Sus scrofa: one gene and its partner. The protein of the gene in region 1 purifies or fractionates together with the protein of each later gene. This does not show direct contact. Links are inferred from orthologs where the notes say so. Each region holds a gene or a part of one and is shown on either strand. Other genes may lie near its edges.

Region 1 (3,808 bases):
TGGACCGCTGGGCAAATGGGTTAGTCTTTCAGCCTACCCTAGTTTCAGGAAGTGTTGCTCTCAGCCCATGAGGTACTGATGGGCTTCCAGGTACAGGAAAGCATGAGGGGAAAAGTCAGGTTCACGTTTAATAAGCCAGGGCTGGCCCGCGCTGGGATAGCAGCCAGCCCAACAAGAGCGACCCGGGGATGATGGCTGGAAAAGAGGCACTGTGAATGGAAGGCCATCTGAGGACCCTGGGAGTCATCTGCCTACGTTAGCCCTCCTTTTCTGACTGAGTGGGAAAGCCTCCGGGGAGACTTGGCTTTTACTCCTGTCGAAAAAAATAACCAACCAACCAACCAATAACCAAACAACAACACTCAACCAGAGAGAGAGAAAGAGAGAGAGAGAGAGAGAGACTAAGATACAAAATAAAAACCAAAGAAGTGAGCGAGCTGAGTCGGGTCACTCAGCTGGACATCTGCCGCCGCCGCCAAGGCACTCTGCCAGCCGCACGGTGATGGTTAGGGAAGAAGGGAGGCTTTGCTGCTGGACTCGGCCCGAATACACTCATCGGTTTGCTTCAGCAGCCTCCGGACCAGCTTTTCTAGGTCTCTTCTTGATTTCAACTCCTCTTCCAGGCATTGCTTCATTCTTTTATTCTCCTACAATGGGAAAAGGCTGGCTGGTTACCAGGCAAAGGGACCCCATCTCAGGGCTCCTCCGGCTCAGCCTCCTGCTCAGCCTTCACAAGCAACTACACGCTCCTTCCTCAAACTCCGCTCCCTCAGCTTCCAGGACAAGGCAGCCTCTGGATTCCCCTACTTCTCCGTGGCCAGTCCCTGAAACACAAGCATCATGTAGGGCTCTGGCCCTGGCCCTCTTCTATTTCAACACTCTCTTTACCTAATGTCTTCTCTCTTTCAACTCACGTCTCTCCGAAGCAGCCTCTCCGTCTTTCTGGTACGGACCTCCTCTCGGCTCATGTGCACTGGGTCCCCGGTCCCCAGTGCCGACCTGATATTTCCACTTACATGTGTTACGAGGACCTCAAACTCACTGTGTCCTAAAGCGAAGTCAGTATCTCCCCTCATCACCCAAACTTCTTTTCCTTCTGATTTCCGTGAAGGCCACTGTCATATCAAACTGGATACCCAGGTAAGAAGCTTCCTCTTCAATCCCTGGCTTTTTTTTTTTTTTTTTTTTTTTTTTTTTTTTTGCCACTCCCTCAGCGCGTGGAAGTTCTTGGGCTGGAGCTGGAACCCAAGCCACAGCAGCGACCTGAGCCACTGCAGTGATAATGCCAGATACTTAACCAGTTGAGCCAGAAATTCCCCCTGGTTCGCTCTTTTCCTTTCTTTCTTTCTTTCTTTCTTTCTTTCTTTCTTTCTTCCTTCCTTCCTTCCTTCCTTCCTTCTTTCTTTCATCTCTCTCTCTCTTTCTTTCCTTCTTTCTCCTGCTTTTTAGGGCCGCATGTGCCAAATATGTGAGTTTCCAGGCTAGGGGTCTAATCGGAGCTACAGCTGCCAGCCTAGGCCGCAGCCACAGCAACGCCAGATCCAAGCCGCGTCTGTGACCTATACCACAGCTCACAGCAATGCCAGATCCTTAACCCACTGAGCAAGACCAGGGATTGAACCCGAACCCGCGTCCTCATGGATGCCAGTCGGGTTCGTTAATCACTGAGCCACAACGAGAACTCCTGACTTATCTTTTCTTATATTCTGTTTGCAAATGTCCAGGAACATGAAAGTTGTCATTAAGTTTGGGGCCCTACTGTAAACCCCTCAAAAAATATATGAGGAAGCCTCAGAAATTGAAACCCAGGGCCATGTGGTAAAATCCACAAAACCTGGATGACACAAGGGAACTACAAATCCCCACCTCGCCACCTTGTTCTGGTCCTTTCCTGAAGGTGTCGACCAGTGAGAAAAAAACTCGGGAGTTCCCGTCGTGGCGCAGTGGTTAACAAATCCTACTAGGAACCATGAGGTTACAGGTTCGATCCCTGGCCTCACTCAATGGGTTAAGGGTCTGGCATTGCTGTGGCTATGGTGTAGGCCGGTGGCTTCAGCTCCGATCAGACGCCTAACTTGGGAACCTCCAAATGCCATGGGTGCAGCCCTAGAAAAGACAAAAAAAAAAAAAAAAAAAAAGACTTTCGGATTTCATTACCTGTTTCAGCTCTTTGACCTCATCTTTCAAGGCATAAACAGTATCGACGAGGCTCCTAGAATACAAAGGTAAAGCTCAGAGAGTAACAGCTGGCACTGAAGTATTGTTAAGTGATACTTTAGAAGAAAAGCAGCTTTATAGAAACACAGATCCTGCAAAGCGGTGGGCTTTCTGGCTGATGGGAGAGACGCTGCTGTGGATACTCCCTAGGTTCCTCACTTGTGCCACACACGCGTGTTCAAGCACTCTCCCCATCCTCACACCTTGTCTATGCCTCCCTCCTCCTCTGCGGCTCACTTCCCGGCTTGGGCGGGTACCAAAAAAGAGATTAGTATATTGTATACCTGCAACTTGCAGAATATTGTACATCAACTCTACTTTCATAGAAAAAAAAGAATTAAGGGGAAAAATCAAGAAAAGAAAGGGAGTAGGACTCCTTCTAAGATTTTGCTTTCTCTCTTGTGGGCAAGAAGGACCACCACCTGTAAGGAGAGGTGGCATTGCCCTTCTTGCCTATCTGACCCTACACCACCGTACAGGACACAAATTCAGGGTGTTCTGGAACATTCCATATATTCAGAAAAAGGATAAAGTGCCTTGGCTGAGTTGTGGAAGAGCCCTTTCCTCTCTGGATCTCCCCCTGGAAGAGGACTTCGGAGATCTGGGTTCCAGTTCTGATCCCACGACTTCCTGGTCCTCTAACTTTGGGCAACCAGTTCCCTTCACATACAAGTTGGTGGTAATGCTACAGTCCCTGAAAACCTCACAGAGTTGCTGTGGGGATGCATATAGCTATAATCTTAGTAATTACAACCACCATCATATGTTAAGTGATTACCTTTGTACTTCTTACTCCATTTAAGCTCACAACCACCCTGAAAGTATTACTATCACACCCATCATATAGATGGGGAAACTGAGGCACAGAGGGGGCAGGAACTTGCCCCAGGTCACACCAACAAGGAGCAGAACTTGCAGTTGAACCAGGGCTGTTCTTCTCTTGAGCCCAAGTGCTTTACCATTTGGCCGTAGCACTTCAAACACCAGATGGAAAAATACATTGACGACGCCAAGCACCGTGAAATATGCTGTCCTAGGCAAATTTAGCCTTGACTTCAGAAATGAGTCAAGTTTAAACCAATGAATTGTTTGTCTACTTTGTGTTTATTTTATGAGCCATACGGCATTTAGCCTGATTTTTCCCCCACTGGGTCACCCTCACCACTGTGCAAAGGGAGGCCAGGGACACGATTTCCTTAAACGTCAGTTTCCTCATCTCTAAAAGGGGGAAAACTAATTGTTTATCTCACTAGCTTGCGGTAGGAGTTCAAATGAGTCAGGCATGTGGAAGTCCAGGGTCCGAGTCAATAAATGTGAGGGGCATCCCTGGGCTCCCAATTGCACGATCAGCAAAGAGGGCCAGGCTCCCAGAACCTTCTTTCCAGCCCCCAGACCAATCAGGAACCGTTTCACCTGCTCTACTCACTTCTCTTCGATGATGGTCTGGCCGTTGCTCCTGGTTTCTTCAATGATGAGTTTCTCCTCCTCGGGAAGTAAGACTTGGGGAACGGAGTCTTTGCGAGAACCTACAGACAAGGTTGGCAGGAGGCAGGAGAGGGGAGAGTTACGAGGGGAGAGGACTTGTTGCTGT
Region 2 (4,262 bases), on another chromosome or scaffold:
GCCTTGTCTTTGGTCTCTTGTCTCTTGTGCAGTCAGTAAAACCATGGAGATTTGAGATAAGTAGTTTCTTTCAACACAACTTTGGCTTCACTGACATGCTTACCCCTCCAATTTCTTGCTCTCCCTTTGGGTTGAGTGGGAGTTTGGAAATCTGTCAGAGGTACTTCTCTTTCTTAAAAGCTTAGTTATGCCTTTGAAAGGATGTTCTCTTTTATCCAGCAATGTGTTTTTAATAGTGGGGGCTGTTTTTCAAGTTATCTAATAGTGTGCCATATTGCTCCTTGAATCTTTTCTCTCGTACTTTCCACATCAGTTGAGTTTTTTGCTTCACATCTATCAAAAGAACATACCCATTCTCCATTTTCACTGCTATCTCTTATGACAGTCATGATTACTGCCTCCTTTCTTCATTCCCTTCTATTCTTGAAAACCCAGAGTCCATTCTCCATGTAGCAATCTAGTGACCTTAAAGTATAAACCAGGAAACCTTCCTTCCCTGCTTACAGCTCTTTAATAGCTTGTTGGAATAAAATCCAGCCTTCTTACCATGTCATTCAGGATCCTCTCTGACCTGAATCTTGTCTCCTCAGGTGTTTTTTCACACTGCGCTACTCTTCTTGCACTAACTCCAGTTACACAGACCCTCTTAACTGACCTTAGAAAGTCCCCCCCCACCTCCTTCTGCTTGTAATGCTTTCTCCTGGGAGTTTCTCATGGCTGTCTCTTTCTGTTCTCAGCTTAAATGTCACCTCCTTAAAGATGCCTTCTCTGGCCAACTTATCCAAAGAAATCATCCTAGTTTTTTCTTCATACCAGGTATCACTATTTTAATTATTGTGTTTTCATATTTGTAAGTTACACAAAGTGACTTGTGTTCACCCTTGTATTCCTGATACCCAGCAGTGTCTGGTACAAATTAGACACCAAAATATTTGTAGAATTAGTGAACACATTGATGAACTCCTCCTCCTCCATGAATAAAACAGAGGCATTAATTTGCAAGGAGGCGCGACTTAATTTAGCACCAAAATACATTAATAAGAGTTGTAGGTAAAGGGCAAAATGGGTAACGGATGAATTCCCAGAAACAAATGTCTTAGAGCAGGTTCATATAATAACAGTTGTCTTTCAGCGTCTTTGGTTGGCACAGACCTGAGTGGAGACAATGCTGAATTACACGAGGCACTGGCTGTCTCTGTCAATAAAAAGAATACTAGAGATGGAGGGAGGGAGGAAAAGAAGAGAGATAAGAGGCACACATCTCTAAACTACAACTCCCAGCAGCCTCCGCGTTTGCCTGCCCACTGGGAGGCGGTGCCTGTCTCCGCCCGGTGGAGCTCCCGCCTTCGGCCCCGCCCCTGCCCGCTCCCCGCCGTCGCCCTCCCCCAGGGTTGTGGCCACGCGCAGCGGCAGCGGTTGTTCCGCTTCCCCTCTGGCCTGGGCCGTCGCCATTGCCGAAGGCTCCCTGCCCTCCCCTCCCGGCGCCCGCGGGGCTCGGCGGCCGCCCGGCCTAGCAGTAGAAGCCGCGGCGCTCCAGCGCGGCTCCACTTCCCGCCCCGCTTCCCCTTCCCTCCCCTCCCCGCCCCGCGTCGCTCTCTTGCTCGGGGCGGCTCCTGATCCCGCCAGGAGCTCGGCCGGAGGCTCCTCGCTGGGGCGGGGACCTTTCCTCGCCTGGGGTAAGTGTGCAGACAGGCCGGGACGCGGGCCGTCGCTCTCCTTCCTCCTTCCTTCTCCGCGGCCTGGCCGGCGCGAGCGGCCCGGGGCAGCTGACCTGCCCCGCGCGGGGCCGGGAAGCCGCCACCTGCGTGCCTGGAGCGGCAACTCTTGGGGCGGTGGCTCATTGTCTGCGCCCTCGGGCTGTTTTCTTCTCCGGTTTTAGCCTGAAATGGGAAGCTTGCTAGGCTGGTGAGTTCTGACTCTTCCTGGACCCGGCCCTGCCCTGAACCGTGTCGCGCCAATCTCTGCTCTCTGTCGATCTCCCTTCCCTCGCGTTTCAGCCTTCTCTTTTTCTCCATTTACTTTAGTGTTCGACTCACCGTTTCGGGGTTTTTAACTCGATTTTTTGTCTCTTACCGAGTTCCAGCCCCACCTTGCTACCTTTGGTCATCCCAGTTTCATTGCTTAGGCATATTGTCTGTAGTCCCCTTACTGGTTTCTAAACTGTAATCTGTGATATCTTCCATATTCCGGATCAGTAGAAACTATAGTTTTCCGAGGGTTTGAGGGCCTCCGCTTGATAACTGAGCTTTCGTATCTTCTCGTGATTCTTTGATCTTCAGCCAGGAGATGAATATTTGCTTCCTTAGGTAACTTAGGTGAAGGTTAGCTTTCACCATGTTTGGCTTTCTTTAAAATAACACACACATGCAAAACGGTACCGAAAATTCCTCAGCGGACTCAACTTTTTGACTAATTCTTTAAAGATAGAGTCATCCAAGAACTGAAGATTGGAAAGCAATTGCCATTGTTGTCAGTTGTCGTGGGGTTGTACCCGTCCTTGTCTCTTATCTTTAATGGAAACACTCTGGACAGTGAGAGCGTGATTTCTTTCCTCCTTGATGAATAATGCCAACTCCCATTGGTATAATTATCACAGTTTTGTCTTACAAGTGATCTATAGTTTTTTGTTTTCTTTTTAAAGCTCTGTTAAAAGACAATCAAAATGGTTAGGCCTAAAATTAGACTACGACGAGCAGTGTTTTGGATCAAGGTTGTGCACGTCACGTTTTTTCCCCTCCTCTGTTTGACTCTTCCGCTCTTGTAAGTAGGCAGGATATTGAAATGTAGAAGAATTTGCTCTGGGGGTTTGTTTTTGTAGGGTTACTCAAAAGAATAACATTAAATAAAGTTAGATTGTGATGAAGGCAGTGAATAGTAATTTTTAAAGCAGGTTAGAACTTGTCAACTTTGCCAGAAGCTCTGCGGCATTTATAAAACACACTTATAATAACTTCTACATGTTTTATATATGTGTATTTAAAAAATATGCATGTGAATGAAAAGCTTTGTTCATGTTCTTCTGCTAAGGGTATTGATTTAAGGCAACTCCTTTCATCCTTAGCTTTAAAATCTTTCTGGTTATTAATTAGCCCAAAACACTGACTTACGTTATGAAAAATGCACCTTAAGATGTTTCTGACCTGTAATATATGGAGGTATTAAACCCCACTTTCAGGTTTTGGTGAAGGAGGTTGACCTAAATTCAGTGAATTTTGTGTTTTCACTAGTTTATTGTTACCTAAACGACTTAGTCCTAAGCTTCACTATTGTCAAATTGGTGGTGTCTGTTGTCCTTACTTCAGTGACGTGCCTTGTTGGCCTAAGGGGTTAAGGTATGGAAGTGCTGGCGTGTGAAACAAGGTCCATTGAAGTCAGCCTCTCTGCCAGTTCTTTCTGTAAGCAGATACTTTTACTTGGGAAGAGTTCTGGGTGTTCTCCCCTTAGGTTGGGGCCTTGATTCCTAGTTTACTTTACCATTATTCAAAGAGAGGGTTATTCTTTGGGGCTTTGTGACATTAAGTACTAACCTGGGAAACCCAAATTCATAAAGTAAGTTTGTGGTAGGAGTCTGTCCACAAAACAAATGAATAGGGGTTTCTTTGGTTTTCTCATTTCTATGATAAGCAGATTTCCAGTAGACATGGTCATCAGTGATATATATGTCTTCTCAATTACACTTTTTTAAAGAGAAAACTTAGAACTTGTCCAAGTGGCTAAGGATAAACTTTCAATTATTTTAAAAGAGAGACCTTGTTCAGACAGCTAGGGATAAAATAAGTAGGTATTAAATTCTCCCCATGTTTAATCTGTCAATATTGATTAACCTAATATTTGAGTGTAACATTTCTTTTGGCTTTCTGAATTGTCTAGTTTTGATTAAAAACGTGAAACTGTGCCTTGTTCAAGTCTTTAAGAATTTGGGGTTCTGATCAGTTTTCAAAAGGCCTTCCAGTTAGAGGGCTAATTGCAGACCACGGGGCAGGGGGGAGAGGGGGTGTTAAGGTGCAGATCTGGGTTGACCCTTATAACCTTCTTGTACCTTGGTAGAAACAGAAAGAGGTGGAAGAAAATAGCCCCTGTTGCCTTAAAGAATTTTGTTTTCTTCTGGGAACGGAGTTGAGTCTCACTGCTTCTTCATTTTAGGATCACTAACCTGAATAAGAATAGTCGGTCTGAACATTCAGGCCAGATTTCAGAGGCCTAGCCTATTATCTCTAAGGTACACTAGTACTTACCGCTCCGTGTATCACAAGTGCTTAGGA

The links.
Region 2: the proteins of ARHGEF6 (region 1) and PAK2 purify together in Homo sapiens (affinity purification with mass spectrometry; 3 studies listed by BioGRID and IntAct, counting the BioPlex papers as one, with this or other methods). This does not show direct contact. The link is inferred for Sus scrofa from reciprocal best matches to the Homo sapiens genes ARHGEF6 and PAK2.

The regions. Positions count from the first base shown.
Region 1 is NC_010461.5:111,801,878-111,805,685, forward strand, and holds part of ARHGEF6 (rho guanine nucleotide exchange factor 6), read right to left. Parts: intron 3,744-3,808; coding exon 3,644-3,743; intron 2,213-3,643; coding exon 2,158-2,212; intron 648-2,157; coding exon 507-647; 3' UTR 1-506. UniProt on the Homo sapiens protein: Acts as a RAC1 guanine nucleotide exchange factor (GEF).
Region 2 is NC_010455.5:133,380,578-133,384,839, reverse strand, and holds the start of PAK2 (serine/threonine-protein kinase PAK 2), read left to right. Parts: upstream 1-1,333; 5' UTR 1,334-1,676; exon of another isoform or gene 1,677-1,905; intron 1,906-4,262. UniProt on the Homo sapiens protein: Serine/threonine protein kinase that plays a role in a variety of different signaling pathways including cytoskeleton regulation, cell motility, cell cycle progression, apoptosis or proliferation.